Linked DNA regions of Arabidopsis thaliana. The protein of the gene in region 1 interacts with the protein of each later gene in a pairwise test. Each region holds a gene or a part of one and is shown in the gene's direction. Other genes may lie near its edges.

Region 1 (7,916 bases):
AACAAAGATAGTTAAACAGTTTGTTGTCATGCTAATACAGAGATGATTGAATTAGTGACTTATTTGAGTTGTTATACTTTTTTCTTCCAGGCACTATGGCTTCACCGGCGGTTCCTCTCTCTTAATTGGATAATGTATTTCGCTTGCAATCATTCAGATGCTTCACCTGAAACCGGAGAGAGTATTATTATGAATGAAGAAATTGCCATCTTCATTGATAATGAGATCCGTCTTCTAGATTCTTCTATGACCGTTCCGGATACCAAATTTGAAGATTTTCAAGCTCAAGCATTGCATGCTGCTGTCTACACGCTATGGCTGACAAAGGTAACAGTGGTCTCTTCTTGTCCAAATAAAGTCATCAAAAAAATTGCCACTATTGTCAATCTCACAAGTGCAGAAAAATAGATTGGGAGTTTTCCGTATAGCAGAACGATAGAAATATGGTTGACTTTGATTTCTGATATGCATTCGTTTATAAGCAGAGCATTCCAGTACTGTGGAGAATGCTCGAGGAGAAGCTTGGAACAGAGAAAGTGAAGTGTGTACTGAACACAATTGCTCAAGAGAGACCCTCGCTTCTGCATCATTTGGTGAATGTCTGAAGACCCTCCATAAATTGGTGTCAAACCATGTCTCAGGATCTGTTTGAATTGTTTTTTTTTTTTTTTTTTTTTTTTTTTTTTTCTATTTTCGCCGATATAGCTTAATGAGTTGATTAATGAAGAAGTTGGCCGAGAAATCTCTGTCATCAAGTGTTACACGAGTCTTCGAGTGGTGTAACCAAACCTATTAAAAAAATGAATGAAGGTTATATAAGCTTCCAAAACCAGATATGTCGTATTCCGTAGAGACAAACGAGACCGTCACAGCTATCAAAGGGAACTAAGTATATTGTGTCCTCCTTCGCCTTCTCCCAAGGAGTAGGGATCTTGACCGATGATGAGGAACCCAACACCAGTGTAGTTAGATGTTTTATATCCGGTTTACAATAATCGTCACGCCATATGGAGACCATGAGACAAACGAGACCGTCACAGCTATCAAAGGGAACGCCATATGGAGACCATGAGAACATCTGGATCACCTGATTGCTGACGCTCTGTCAACTGTCTTTGTTGGAAGAATGGAGATTCGATAATTGATTTCCATTGTTTAGACACGGCCTTTGAATCTCAGCAGAGAATCCACAGCAAGTCTCTCTAGGATGCACTCTACCACATCGTGGGGCAGCGATTCCGTCCTCGAGCAGCGTTGTTTTTACTTGTGATTGCAGACTAGTCCTTGTTGATGAATATACAGAGAGGCTTATTTGCTTTATAAGCAAGTAATCTCACAAATAAACTGGAAAGAGGAAACCTATCACTCTTTTACCTATTTCTTATGAGCTTTGAATAAAGATACTGACCGTTGGGAATATCAAACCGATAATTATGTAAAGATGCTAAACCAGTTATATGCATACCGCATCATAAAGCATGTATCATAATTCATAGTCACACCTAATAAAGAGAATCGAGTTATTATATAGTCATACATAATAAAGAGAATGAATAGTCAAATGGGCATAATTTAATATGACCGGTCCTTGTTATGGGGTAGGTCTCACACTCTCACCACGCGGATAATAGATATGCGACCTTTTTTAATTTTCCCGGGCAAAAACTGTTGTTAACTGTCAATGTTAATTCCACGTGTCACAATCGTATCGCTTTACAAAAATCTAACGGTCATAATTTCGCCGACAAGGTAGTCACTATCACAGGCTAAAAAGACCTTTGCCGACGAGATATTAGTTTGGGCCATTCACGTTATGCCACGTCACATGATCTGGCGATTCCACATTTACACCAACGTGGAGAATTTTGCCCAATGATTTTTTTCAGTTATCTTTCCGTCTAGAGAAATATCCTCACCAAAATAATAACATGTAATGTGTATACAGTATACCTAATCAATCATTATCTTTCTTTAATTTTGTTGGATTTTTTGCATATTGCAAAGTTTAGAACGCGAGCGAATTCTCCGCGGAATTGGGGTTAAAAGGAAGAACTTTTAGGGTTTTTGATTCTTCGGGTTTTCTCGTGCTTTGATTCCTTTCAAGTCAAAGCAAAGCATTACCTTTTCTCGTCCATGTAAGTCAGAATTGTTCAAATTATTGTTTTGTCTTTTCTTTTGTGGGTAAATTTTTTGTTCGAATTATCTACGATCTCGTTGTTTGTTGATTCTCCTCAATCTCCTCTTCGATTTTGATCGAATTTCATAATCTGGGCTTTGGTTTCGCTCGCTTTCTTGTTTCCATTGTCGTAGTGAGTTCTCTTCGCGAATCAAATCCTTTGATTCCTCTGTTTTTGGTGTTCTGGTTTTCTTAGGTTCTATGGAATCGTGGGTCGTTTTAGTTCAATCATAAATGACGATTGAGTTACATTATCTTATCATCAGCCACAACTTTTAAGAGTTGATTATATTTTGATCCCGTATCTTTGGTTGTTCCGAACATGGAAAGTTTTAGGTTTTTAGTTTTTTCATCCCTTGTCTAAGTAATCGCTGTTTTACAACTGATCAAGTGGCAAGTACGTTACTTATGCAACTTTTGAGATCAGTCCTTACTTGTTAGAGTAACCACAATTCATGTTTCAATGTTACCACATGCTTCATGGCCATATCTCTTATCCTAGATTATTTCTTGCTTTTCCTTACAGATCTTTTGACGACCTAAGTTTCTGCTGTGAATTGTTAAACAGCCATCAGCCTGGGCTTGATTAGCCAACCCTGTTAAGGCAGGGTTTGAACTAAAAGTGAGATAGTGAGATGGATGTCTCAGCACTTTTAACGTCTGCTGGGATTAATATAGCGATATGCGTAGTGCTTGTATCGCTTTATTCCATTCTACGAAAGCAGCCAGCCAATTATTGTGTTTACTTTGGTCGATTGCTTTCTGACGGAAGAGTTAAACGTCATGATCCTCGTTGGTATGAGAGGTTCGCGCCCTCTCCTAGTTGGCTCGTGAAAGCTTGGGAAACCACTGAGGAAGAGATGTTGGCTGCTGCTGGTCTGGATGCTGTGGTTTTCATCAGGATGGTCATTTGCAGGTTAATGATACTTCACCTATAACATGCTTACTGTAATTGAATAGACAAGCATGGTATTTTCTACTGTTTCTATGTTCCAGCACTTGTTTTATTTCTATGTGGTATTTGTGTGTTTCGTTCTTAACAACTCTCACAGTTGGGTTATCGTGTTTTTTTTAAACTCTGCAGCATTCGTATTTTCTCAATCGTCGCAGTCGTTTGCCTTGCCTTTGTGTTACCTGTTAACTATTATGGACAAAAGATGGAGCACAAGGAAGTCCATTTGGAGTCATTGGGAGTATTCACAATTGAGAACCTTAATCCACGCTCACGATGGTAAAGTGGCGGCATATAATATTAATATTATCAGATAATATGCATAGCCTGTTTTTCTATCTGATTATGTTTCTCTGTGCAGGAGAAGATAGATTGCCAGTATTTTGTACAATGAAGTGCTGATCCTTGTTTTACTATTTTTATTTCCAGGCTCTGGGTTCATTGTCTCTCATTGTACATCATATCCTCTGCAGCATGTGCTCTTCTTTACTTTGTGAGGATCTTATACCTTGGTTCATTTCACGCTTACTGTTTCTCTTTATTCCATCACTTCCTCATCGTTTTGGTCTCTCGTCTCTCTCTCTCACCCTGTTTATACGTGTTTCACCACTGTAGGAGTATAAGAACATAGCCAAAAAGAGGCTTGCCCATATTAGTGGATCTGCCTCAAAGCCAAGTCATTTTACTGTTCTTATTCGTGCTATTCCTCAGTCTCCTGACCAGTCCTACAGCGAGACAGTGAGCAAATACTTTACAAATTACTATGCACCAAGCTATGTGTCGCACCTAATGGTCTACCGTGATGGCTTCATTCACAGACTGATGGTATGTGTTTTTATTTATTTTTGCAACATGCTGACTTGATTATCAGTCACTTGTCTTTTTGTTATGATTTTGTCGGATTAGGAATAAATTTTTCAGCTAACACCACTGCCGCTCTGCTTGGTTGACCTTAGCAGAATAGGAATCTCCTAGAATAGAAAAAGGAAGCTGTGATAGCTCTATGTTCCGGAATGTGATTTAACACTTTTCACACTTTACATGTTTCTTCTTTCTTTATAAAATGTTCACCATAACACTTCCCCTGTGTTCTGTCATAAATGCTTCTTCATTTGCCAAGGGCATCAAAGATTGATGAAATAACAGAACAGTAACTTTGTTGTAAAGATTTGATTGATAGTCATGTATCAGTTAAAGATATAGGAAGTTCTAAGGGGATTATATGATTGATCCACATTCTTGGAGTACTGATTTTGTTTTTGGCTCATTTGTAACGCTTTTATTTGTAGTTCATGTTATCTGATATTGAGGTTCTTTTGATATTACATCAGTTTTTTGCTTTGGTTATCTGATCAGCATTTTGAATGGCAATATCTTTGGTAAACAACTAGTGGATGGTGTGTGCTCATGATAACATATAGTTGAAGTGCAGTGGTCTATTTTGGAGAACAATTGAGTTAATTAGATTCTAATATTAATTGTGTCACTTTCTATTTTAGAATGAGACGGAGAGGATGTGTCAGGCTATAAAACATGTTTCTCCTGATTTAAGTTGTAATCCGAGTTTGAAGTCATGCGTCCTTTGTGGACCTGCAGCCACAAATTCTTTTCAAATCATCTCGAACGAGACAGACAGTGTCAAAGGATTGGAGCTTGGTGAGTTGACTTTGACTACGACAGAGGAAGTAAGGAATTATTTTCACTTTGATAGGTGAACTTTGTGCTGTACATGATATAGGCATAGTGTGGGGTTTTACCTGTTGCATGTCTTCACAGTTTTACAGCTGAAACTGGAGAATTGACTCTTTTGTTCTTTACTGAGATACAAATTGAGCTTTAGAGGTAACACTGAGACTTAGGGGAACCCAAAAAATACTACAATGAGACGTTAATGGACCTTGAATTAGTGATACAAAGAGCTTTTTGTTTAAAACCTTTAAAAGCTAGATCTAAAAGGAATATATCTCCATTCATGACTGCATTTGTAAACATTGCTTAATGAAGTATCAGCGCCTGAAATATGTATGCAAGGCTTACACTTTTCTGCTCATTTGCAGGAACGTCCCGTTGCTTTTGTGTTTTTCAAGAGTCGTTATGATGCTCTTGTTGTTTCAGAAGTTCTTCAAACACCAAATCCTATGTTATGGGTGGCAGACTTGGCTCCAGAGCCTCATGATGTTCACTGGAGAAATCTCAGAATACCTTATCGGCAGCTTTGGATGCGAAGAATAGCAACCCTTGTTGGTGCAATTGCCTTCATGTTTGTGTTTCTTTTTCCTGTTACCTTTGTTCAAGGGCTGACTCAACTACCAACGTTATCCAAGAATTTTCCTTTTCTAAAAGACCTCTTGAACAGGTCAGCATTTCCTTCTTGTACTCAGTAATAGAAGGTTTTGTTCGTATTCTTCTTAAGATGACATAGAGTTGGCACTAAAGAGTAGGTGTAGCTACGTTGCTTTTAGAGAATTTCAAGATGCGTATAGTCGGAGGCTGCTAGGCAGTTGATATATTTATGCTAGATTTTTCTAGATTTAAGCGCAGTAAAAAACTGAGAACAATTAAATTCTGTGTAATTGATTTCTTTTCATTTCCTTTCAATTTAATTATCCCTTTGAAAAACATTGCAGGAGGTTTATGGAGCAGGTCATCACAGGGTATTTACCAAGTGTGATTTTGGTTCTATTCTTTTATACCGTTCCGCCATTGATGATGTACTTTTCAACCTTGGAGGGATGTGTTTCTCGGAGTCAAAGAAAAAAAAGTGCATGTCTCAAAATTTTATACTTCACCATCTGGAATGTGTTCTTCGTCAATATTCTATCAGGCTCTGTTATCAGGCAGTTTACCGTCTTGAATAGTGTGAGGGACGTACCTGCACAACTTGCGAAACTTGTTCCAGCACAGGTAATTTTCAGTGTTCCTTTCACACGTGTGACTATATTCAATTTTGTTATTTTCTATAAGGCTAACGGTATGAAATTATTCATTGACTACATGCAGGCTGGCTTCTTCATGACCTATTGTTTCACGTCTGGTTGGGCCGGTTTGGCATGTGAAATCATGCAACCTGTAGGTCTTATTTGGAATCTGATTGCAAAAGTTATTGTTAAGAACAAGGAGGAGTCATATGAAACACTTAGGTTTCCCTACCATACAGAAATTCCAAGACTACTTTTGTTCGGGCTCCTGGGTTTCACCAATTCAGTCATAGCGCCTCTGATACTGCCGTTTCTGCTGATCTACTTTTTCTTCGCATATCTTATATACAAAAATCAGGTACGTGCATATCTGCTCTGATCTCTTCTACATAGACCTCATTTTGTAGTTGCCAATAAGCACTTCAAGAAATTGTGACATAGACACCTATATCCATGATCAAATGTTTTTGGACTTTTTCACAATTTGATATGAAACCTGATTCAGAAGCATGAAAGAGTATTATTTTATTTTCTTGAAAGATTTGTAACTAAATTCCAAGAACTCTGTACTGAAACATTGTCGTCGAGACCTTGCATTAAGTTACCAGCTGTTCTCATGATCTATCTGAAGCTTTACCTTATAACTTTGAGAACTGCATAAGGTGTTGTCTGATTGTCCCTGCATTCGTTGAGTGCTTGCTTCTGGAAATATGATTAATGTATTTGTGCTAATCGACTAATAGTGGTGCCATAGGTAGACAAGTCTGTGAGTTTGAAGTACAATTATTTGGATCTGACTAAGTTTGTCTTTTTTTTTTTTTTTGCAGATAATCAACGTCTATATTACAAAGTATGAAAGCGGTGGACAATATTGGCCTGTTTTTCACAACACTACAATCTTTTCACTGATCTTGTCGCAAGTTATAGCTCTAGGCTTTTTCGGGTTAAAGCTATCAACGGTTGCTTCAGGTTTCACCATCCCGTTAATCCTTCTCACTCTTCTATTTAGTGAGTATTGCCGGCAAAGGTTTGCGCCCATATTCCAGAAATATCCAGCCGAGGTATATATACATATATATATATATTACTCATCTTTTCATAACCTCGATTTGCATCTCCTGAGAGATATTGATGTATGAGTTTCTTTCAGATTCTTATCGCTATGGACAGAGCAGATGAGATGACAGGAAAGATGGAAGAGATACATAACAACTTGAAAGTTGCATACTCTCAGATACCAACGTGTTCTGAAGAATCCAGCAAAGCTGGTTGCACTTCTCCTTGCTCAGATCAGGAGTTACCAGATTCTGAAGAGTTGAAGCCTGAGAAAGAGAATCTTAAAGCTGATTACATATGGGAGTTCCAGAGAAGTAAATCTGGTCTTGATCTTGAGGTGAAATCCTGTCCCAGTGCTTCCCCAATTCGTAATTCCCCAGGGTTTGCCGAGATCTACAAACGAACATAGATACTTGAGTTACAATGTATACTTTATAACTCTGCAGATGAAAAGGTGTTTTTGCAGTTGAGTTACAATTTTAGTAGTTGAAACCCTTATGGGTGATGAAAGTAAGAAGTGGGGAAAGCCATTGAAACGTATATACAGTTTTGCCTCCTAAAATGAAATGTAAATTTGGAGTTACTGCAGGAGGAAATGAAACTATCCTTGGAAACACTTGTCTACAAGTACAATAGACGATTCTTTTCTTTGTCATAGTTTTGTGAAAGACATTGACTTTACGATATAGAAATGAGCAAAAGAGCTTTCTGTTTCTATCTCATATATATGTTTATAGTGTTCTTCATTGTCGTGTATACACAGCTTAAAATGCAGAGTAATCTCCTTTGTGGCAAAATATTGAAGATTGTTATT
Region 2 (4,322 bases), on another chromosome or scaffold:
TAAAGGAGCACTTATCTTTATTTGTTATAGAAATTTATTATTTAAAAGAAATTCGTCTTTATAGAAATGTGCATGTGTTTTTTTTATTAGTAACACATTTTCATGCAACAGGAATCTTCGCTTATCTGTAGTGTACATCTCATGAGCCCATATTCATAGTTGTAAAGCAACACCTTCTCTGCAGCTTTTTCTTTCCTATTGTTTTTTGTATCCATAGTTCACATCTACACACTATATAAGGCTATTACAAACAATGATACAATATATGTTCTCATATAATTTGATCTTAATTTTCAAGATATTTAAGGTGGGAAAATATCGAGATAGTATACAATGGAAATCGTTACCACGTGCATGCCAATCTTTAGTAGAAGAAGATTCCTAGATTCCAACAAGAACATGCGCATTTTTTCACGAAAGGCTGGAAAGTTTAATATATAATGGTCGAAAAAATAGGCATAATCTATTTAAGTACTAGCTTAAGTGTTTTACGCTAGATCTGGTGTTGACACTTGTACACCTGGTTTTAAAGTTGCAGAGAAAACTAGATTAATGCTCAAATTGTAGTAAGTAGATTGGATAATTTACACTCGGAAAAAACAAGTTTTTTCAGAAGAATTAGACTGTTGCTCACTTGAGAAAAATCTAGCTAGCTTTGTTAATTGAGGATAGTTAGTTATAGTATTTGAATGACATTAAGGTGTTTGAATATCGCATGAATTGTCGCCTTGGTATTTGGGCAATTACCGGTCATTATTTTGATCTTTGTGATGTCAACTAATCGATCCCAACCATATATATCATAAACTACTGTCTCTTAATTGATCCATTGTGTTTTTAATTTTATCATTACTTTTTTTAACTAGTTGAGAGAATGATTATCTAACCCCTTTCATATTCAGAAAACTTAGGTTTTGAGTTTTTGCTTTATTTGCTGCTCTCTTGAATTAATAGAGCTCTCGTATGCGATTGACTTTGGGTGATTTTTTTTTGTTGGAAAAGCAAATTTCATTGACCAATATAACTAAACTAACACACTACTTCCATGTGGTTAAGGGCCGGGATCATTTATTATTTGCATCTTTTATACGACAATGACAAGGATTCGTTCTCATTACTCCATCCCATTTTGTGGTATGTAAAATCCTAACTTTTTTACTGCATTGATACAACATTTTATTTTAGCATTAGATCAATACGATGGACATATGTCATCAAGTGAGGGGGTAGAAGTTTGCAACTAATGTTTTTGTGCTCATGAATCAATCTCTTCTAGGTAACATTATTTCACTCTTTTCTATAGCGAATACTGCAATGCTTTTACGTTTTAACTAAACATGACTAAACCAAATACCAAAAAAAAAACGAGTAACACTTTGGTGGTTCCTATCTAAGTTGACCGGATCACTCGATTTGATAAAAAAAATTATAGTAAAAGTTTTTGTTTTTGAATACAAATTATATATTTGACTAAAATTCGAAACTTAACCGAAACTAAAACCTTAGCAGATAATCTATAGTATAGTAGATTCATAAACCGAAAAAACAAAAATCTAAACCTAAACTGAGTAATTACTAATGGTGGATCCTTAAAACAAAGCCATAATTTGCAATTGCAACAAATGTTTTTGTTTGGAGTAAAAACCAAAAAAAAAATGATGGGGAGCAACTAAAAATGTAAAATGGTCCCAATCTAATCGCATAAGTTGGGAAGATAGTTAGTAGTTCTCCTACTCCCAACTACATCCTCTTCAATGCTCAATCTCGTCTTCTTCTTCCTCTCTATTTAATTTCCCTTGTCTCTCTATCTCTCTCAATTTCCTCATCTGGGTCTTCCTCGTTTGCTCCGCTTAAGCACCATGAAGGTCACCGTCGTCTCCCGCAGCGGCAGAGAAGTCCTCAAAGCTCCCCTTGACCTCCCCGATTCGGTACTTTCTCGTTTCTTATGATACTCTCTTCTCCGATCTGCTTCTTCTTCTGATTCGTGGGTTTGTTTCCAAAATGTGATTGAAGGTTTTTGTTCTTTAGTTTGGTCCCTCAATGTAGGGAAAGTTGCATGCTTTATGATTTTTGGGTTGTTGATTTCGATTTCGTGTGTTTTGTGCTTCGCAGGCGACTGTTGCTGATCTGCAAGAAGCGTTTCATAAGAGAGGTAAAGTTTCCAAAGTTTTCATTTTTACTTGAAATTTGACTTGTCGAATGTTGGTATAGATCTCACCTGAGTGTGTAAGCTTAAGCTAGTGTTTATGTGTTTGAGTTCTCCTTATACCATTTGATGCTTATGGGGTTATATAATCAAGATCTGTGTGGAAGCTTAAGGAGTATTTAGATTTGATAATGTTTTCTGCTGATAAGGATCACTTAAGCTTCTAAACACAGTTTTGGATTTGAATTAATCATCACAACCTTTTGTCATTTATGGATCAGTCCCTTTTTAGCTTTAATAAAGGTTCACTTTAGATTGTCCATCAATGGCAATTATCTGAAATCATCTTACTATACAGTACAATGTATATTCTGTATGTATTATATTTATCTCGTTCATTCAAATCTTAGTTTGATTTTCTCTCAGTAGGTATTAAACTGTTTGATTTGGGTTTTGTTGTTTCAACAGCTAAGAAGTTTTACCCGTCGAGGCAAAGACTGACTCTTCCCGTGACTCCTGGATCGAAGGACAAACCTGTTGTCCTCAATAGCAAGAAATCACTGAAGGAGTACTGTGATGGAAACAACAACTCCTTAACTGTAGTCTTCAAAGACCTGGGGGCACAAGTTTCCTACCGCACACTCTTCTTCTTCGAGTATCTTGGCCCTCTCCTTATCTACCCTGTCTTTTACTACTTCCCTGTTTACAAGTTTCTTGGTTATGGAGAGGACTGTGTGATCCATCCGGTCCAGACGTACGCTATGTACTACTGGTGCTTTCACTACTTCAAACGGATCTTAGAAACGTTTTTCGTACATCGGTTCAGCCACGCAACCTCCCCAATCGGGAATGTGTTCAGGAACTGTGCTTATTACTGGAGCTTTGGTGCTTACATTGCTTATTACGTCAACCATCCCTTGTACACTCCAGTTAGTGACCTTCAGATGAAGATTGGTTTCGGGTTTGGTTTGGTTTGCCAAGTCGCAAACTTTTACTGTCACATATTGCTGAAGAATCTGAGGGACCCCAGTGGGGCTGGAGGCTACCAGATTCCACGCGGTTTCCTCTTCAACATTGTTACATGTGCCAATTACACTACCGAGATTTACCAATGGCTAGGATTCAACATCGCTACTCAGACCATTGCAGGATATGTTTTCCTCGCTGTTGCTGCTCTAATCATGACTAATTGGGCTCTTGGAAAGCACAGCCGTCTGAGAAAGGTAAACATAGCGGTCTCACGATATGATTTTAGCGGAACTGAAAATTCTCAAATAATGTTCTTATTGTGGATTGTTTGATATTGGTATTGCAGATATTTGATGGAAAAGATGGAAAGCCAAAGTATCCAAGAAGATGGGTGATACTTCCTCCATTCCTTTAGAAGCCATTGTTGCTTATCAGTAAAAGCTCTTAATAAAGCTGAAAATGAGACTTTCTTTGGGTTCTCTGTATCGTTTCCTTTTTTGTTCGGTCTATGTATTGGTTATAACATGTTTATTCCTTTTGTTTCAATATGTTTTGATTTTTGAAGTTAGAGAGATTTAGAAATGTACTTGTGTAGTTGTTTCTCACGCAAACCAATTCCTCTTTATGTATCGCATACATGAGTCAATAATAAATATGATTACTAGTAACATAAATCAGTCTATGCGGCATTCTATAATGACAATTGCAATGAGTTTAGACGTCGATGAAACATACAAGTTGTATAAATTAAAAATAACATTCATAAGATACACATTTTTGTTTGTCCCATAAAAGAATATGTCAATAGATCAAATCAAACGATAAAATGTTATGCTAAACAAAATTACCAGAAGGAAAAAGAAGCAAATGAAGCTTTCATAGAAAGACCACAAGAACCGGGAGAGAGTAATCAAGCTGATGAATTTTTTCCACACAGTTGGTCAGAGAGTTCATCTCTCAAGACCGATGAAGCCTCATCGGCAAGCTTGCAGCTTCGTTGTCTGTAGTTCATGTCATGTTGCTGAGACAAAGGTTGGTCATCCAAAGTTTGATCCTCCATATCGATAATAATGTTGTGCAGCAAGCAACAGACAAAGATTATCCTTGGTAACCGGTTTCTATCAGGCATCCACATTACCCCGTTTATTATCCTCCACCTGTCTTTAAGCTTCGATAGTGCCATCTGCGCGGCTTTTGTTGCCTCGGA
Region 3 (4,194 bases), on another chromosome or scaffold:
ACTAAATATTTTATAGACTGTGTAACAATTTTTTTTTCCGTAGTTTATAACTCACTCGACATATTTCAACATACTGTATACTTGTTATCAAAAATATATTTACACATAGATGTTTGCGTCACAAATCTATAGAATTTGTTTGACAAAAAGCTTATTTTAATTACTTTTTATACGAGCATATGAGATGTTTGCCACAAAGATTATCGTTGGTTTACACACAATCGCACATCATTGGTCGTAAAATTGTGTGCTGTAATCCAAATAAGACTTTGATATTAATTAAGTGAAACAATTCTAAATAAGGATTTCGAACTGTCAGAATAAAACTAGGTTATATAGGCCGTAAAAAAAGGAAAGACAAGAAGGTGAAAGTGAGATTTGGAGAAGAGGAGGAGGAGCAGAGAAGGATGGTCACGTGGGTGCCCATTCCCTGCCGTTAACAATTTGCCTTCCGTCTCGCGTGCGGTGGGTCCCATATCATCTCCTAACGAGAGAGTCGCCGCACTGTTGGACACTCTTTGACGCCGTTTAACTCCAAACGTTGCCGTTAAGTAGAGAGTGAGATTTTTATTTGGTACGGGCAAATGGGAGAGGAAGAGTAGAGACGTGAGGGGCACGTGCCCTGTAAGAGAGAGAGAGAAGCGGTGGCGACCGATCGCTTTCTCGTGATGGTATCACGTGAGGGCAAATTTATTCATCTTTGGGTCCCACTTTTTTTTCACTCTGACAAATAATATCAGAGATTAGAACTCGAGGTAAAGTAAAACTTGTGGGCCCTCTAGCTATGAATATTTTATTTTCTTTTTTGTGAATAAATAGCTGACACTTATGAATCCGACATCCGTGGTAATGCGCTCATTTACCACTAGAACTAAGGTTGAAGCTGCCAATTTAAACTAAATCGTGGATAATTGTATACATAGTAGTAAAATGATGATTTTAAAAAGTGGATTCGTACTATTTTCAATATTCATCAAATTTACGTATACTAAACTATTTTTCCTTATCATATTAAAACTGTTATGTTTATTAATTAACCGATATGTTTACATATGACATGTGTTACTTATTAAACCACATAATCAAAAGCTGTTTTTAATTTTACAATGGTGTGATAAAATAATTTTTTGACTAAAATTTAGGTAATTAATGTCATTGTCTCGTTATATTTCTCTATCTCTAATGACGTTGTTTAGGAATTTTAATGGTGGATGAAAAAAAGAAGAAGAAGAAGATAAGATAAATTATGTTGGGAATAGAAGGAGAGGGCATGTGGTGTCCTTTCTCGAGTGACCTGTCGGTTTATGGGTCATTGATAATACGTGAAAGCGAAAGCTCTGGAGAGAGAAGAGAAGAGACTCTCTCATCATGTCAAAAATAAAAATAAAAAGAGAAGATGTGTTTTCTTTTGTTCTGTTCCCACACTAGTTTTCGCTTACGTGGCCTCTCTCACGTGCTTGGACTCTTTGGGCTTCTCTATTTTAATTATTTTTTATTCTTACTGGATGGCGATTTCGATTAAGACGCGGCCCATTCTTTATTCGACAAGTGTCCCCTCTCTATTTATTTATTTCTATTTTCTTGCCGAGATACTTTTGGACCAACCAAAAAGAAGAAAATAATATATTTTTTATACATTTTCTTCTTTTTGGTTGGTCCAAAAGTATCTCACAATAAAAATAAATTCCTTTTTCTAGTCAAATAAATTTTAAAAACGTTATGATATATAAATGTTGACAAATTGAAGTAAACCATTATAATTTATGGGCCGCCCATGGGCCGATATGGTGTAAATGTGCATCTAATTCCACCGTACTGAGAATACAAATTGGTTTTCTTTTTTTGTTCATCATTTCAAATAGAACTGAATTCAAGTCAATCTCAAATTTGGTTTGGGTGCTCAAGAGATTCTCCGTGATAACAGGCCAATATTTCGGCCTGGCCCATTCAAGCGATTCTCGAGCCGAGAATATGACTGAGGGACAAAATCGTCATTTTAAGGTTACTCCACAAAAGGAGTAAATATCGTCAAAATTGATGGCGGAAATTTTCATGTGTTTAGATCGAAAGCGACGTCGTATTATAACAACACATGAGATGTGAGATTGTTAGTTAACGAAGCAGACCTCGATTCGATTTCTCACAATTCTCCCCCGATAACTGATTACTCTTCTTCTTCTTCCTCCGTCGTTGTTTCATGCGACGAATCGGTTTCAGATTCAGTCGTGGTATCTCTCGATCTTCTCTATCTTTGTCATGGATGATCTGTTACACCAGCGAGTCGAGCAGTCTCAGGTAACTCCTCCTCATGACGATTCTAATATCCATGGTGATTTTGATAACGAGGCTACGGATGAATCGCGATCCGAAACTTGTTCTGTTGTGATAGAGGGAAACTGCGACATGGTGATTGAATTAGGATTGGAATCTGGAAGTGTTATCGTTGAGAATTTAGGTGATAGTGATATTGATGTTAGCAATGATTTTGATGAACCTGATGACGACGATTTCTTTGTGGGGAGGACTGATTTTGGGCTCGAGTTCCGCGATATTGCATCTTCGGGGAATGATATCAGGTTGATTACGGTGGAATCGGGTTCAGATGATGATGATGGTGTTGAGAATGAGAGGGAATTATGGGGGATTGATCTGAATGAAGAAGATGTATATGTGAATGATGATGATGAATATGAAGATGATGATGTTAGTGTGACTATCCCTCTTTGTTGGGATTCACTCCAATTAGAAGATCGTGAGGTAACTGCTGATGAATTTGATTGGGAAGAAGTTGGTGGTGGTGGTGGTGGCGGCGTGGATGATGAGAGAGAGATACGAAGTGGCTTTGCACAAATTGATATGAATGACGAAAGTTTGATTTCTGCTTCGCCAATTATCTCTTTAGAGGGTTTAGTGACAAGGGAAAGAGCAGAGGGTTCGGGAAATCTAGGGTGGGAAGTTTTACTGAATCACACTCTAGAGATCAACTTTGATGTGGATAACAGAGAGCTGTACATTGGTGGTGATCATGACGATTATGTTCAAGACTATGATATGTTGTTTGAACAGTTTGCCGATGCTGAGGTATCCGTTATTGGTTTACCTCCGACTTCCAAATCTTTTCTCAACAATCTCCCAGTGGTTCTACTAGAAGGTGAGAACGATGATGATGGTGGTTTGGTTTGTGCAGTTTGTAAAGATGAGATGAATATCGGAAACAAAGCGGTTCAACTGCCATGTAATCATAAGTACCATAGCGAATGCATTGTACCGTGGCTCAAAGTAAGGAACACATGTCCTGTTTGTCGTTATGAGTTGCCTACAGATGATGCAGAGTATGAGCAGAGGAAGACTCAGAGAACAACAAATACTTTTGGCATGGTTCTGTAAATGGTAAACATCATCCTCGATAAGTAAGATTTTTGTCTTGACTAGTTAATAATGTAGATATTCTGTGTTTGGATTGTGTCAAGCGTTTTCTTAGTTGGTTTTGTTCTAGTATTTGGCCTCATTGTGTGACCCATGAGATGGTCTAAGCTTTAGGAGGCTAGCTTTGCAGAGAAGAACATATATGCATGTACTTTGAATCTTTGATGTTTGTTTTGCTTTTGTCTCATTTTATTGGCCTGGTTTATACATTTACCTAGAACTTCATTCCAAATGTTAAAATGTTCCGAGTTATATACTTACATGTTTCAATCGAATAAAGTAAACTCAAGCTGAAAAGTAAAAAAAATCATCTCAAAATAAATTATTCTGGATATGATTTGCAAATAATGACTAGTGGAGCTAAGAATAAAACAACCATGGTTTTCAATTTCTGTGGTTCGACATAGCTTTTATGTTAGAAAGAGTTGTATTGTCCTTTTGTGGAAACAACGTTGCCGTCTGGTAATTCTAATCATACTAATTTTGAAATCTGTTACACATAACAATCACCTTTTTTTTGGGGTCCATTTATTCTTCAATAGACTAATCTTAAGTTCATTGTTACTTCTTGTTTAAGAACTAAACATTAATGTTTTGTTGTATAGCATTTACAACACGTAAAGATTTTCTTCGTTAATGAATAAAAGTGTTATACAAAGACTAACTATGAGAAGTAAAGTTGTGTGAATGATAAATTGAAGATAGCAATAACGTGCACAAGATATTATCACCAAATATTCCAATGATTCCTTTTGCTATGAATCACTA

The links. Proteins that work in one complex are often made in the same cells at the same time.
Region 2: the proteins of AT1G10090 (region 1) and CER10 interact in a protein complementation assay, tested with the Arabidopsis thaliana proteins (one large-scale study listed by BioGRID).
Region 3: the proteins of AT1G10090 (region 1) and AT5G08139 interact in a protein complementation assay, tested with the Arabidopsis thaliana proteins (one large-scale study listed by BioGRID).

The regions. Positions count from the first base shown.
Region 1 is NC_003070.9:3,290,167-3,298,082, reverse strand, and holds AT1G10090 (Early-responsive to dehydration stress protein (ERD4)), read left to right. Parts: upstream 1-1,884; 5' UTR 1,885-2,135; intron 2,136-2,702; 5' UTR 2,703-2,811; coding exon 2,812-3,092; intron 3,093-3,260; coding exon 3,261-3,407; intron 3,408-3,557; coding exon 3,558-3,621; intron 3,622-3,743; coding exon 3,744-3,953; intron 3,954-4,627; coding exon 4,628-4,813; intron 4,814-5,185; coding exon 5,186-5,484; intron 5,485-5,755; coding exon 5,756-6,032; intron 6,033-6,128; coding exon 6,129-6,404; intron 6,405-6,873; coding exon 6,874-7,107; intron 7,108-7,196; coding exon 7,197-7,511; 3' UTR 7,512-7,772; downstream 7,773-7,916. Other genes in the region: AT1G10095 (Protein prenylyltransferase superfamily protein), read left to right, coding at 91-327, 486-605. UniProt on the Arabidopsis thaliana protein: Acts as an osmosensitive calcium-permeable cation channel.
Region 2 is NC_003074.8:20,520,394-20,524,715, reverse strand, and holds CER10 (3-oxo-5-alpha-steroid 4-dehydrogenase family protein), read left to right. Parts: upstream 1-1,617; 5' UTR 1,618-1,859; coding exon 1,860-1,928; intron 1,929-2,112; coding exon 2,113-2,152; intron 2,153-2,614; coding exon 2,615-3,369; intron 3,370-3,461; coding exon 3,462-3,530; 3' UTR 3,531-3,786; downstream 3,787-4,322. Other genes in the region: AT3G55350 (PIF / Ping-Pong family of plant transposase), read right to left, coding at 4,026-4,322.
Region 3 is NC_003076.8:2,614,231-2,618,424, forward strand, and holds AT5G08139 (RING/U-box superfamily protein), read left to right. Parts: upstream 1-1,903; 5' UTR 1,904-2,256; coding exon 2,257-3,387; 3' UTR 3,388-3,658; downstream 3,659-4,194.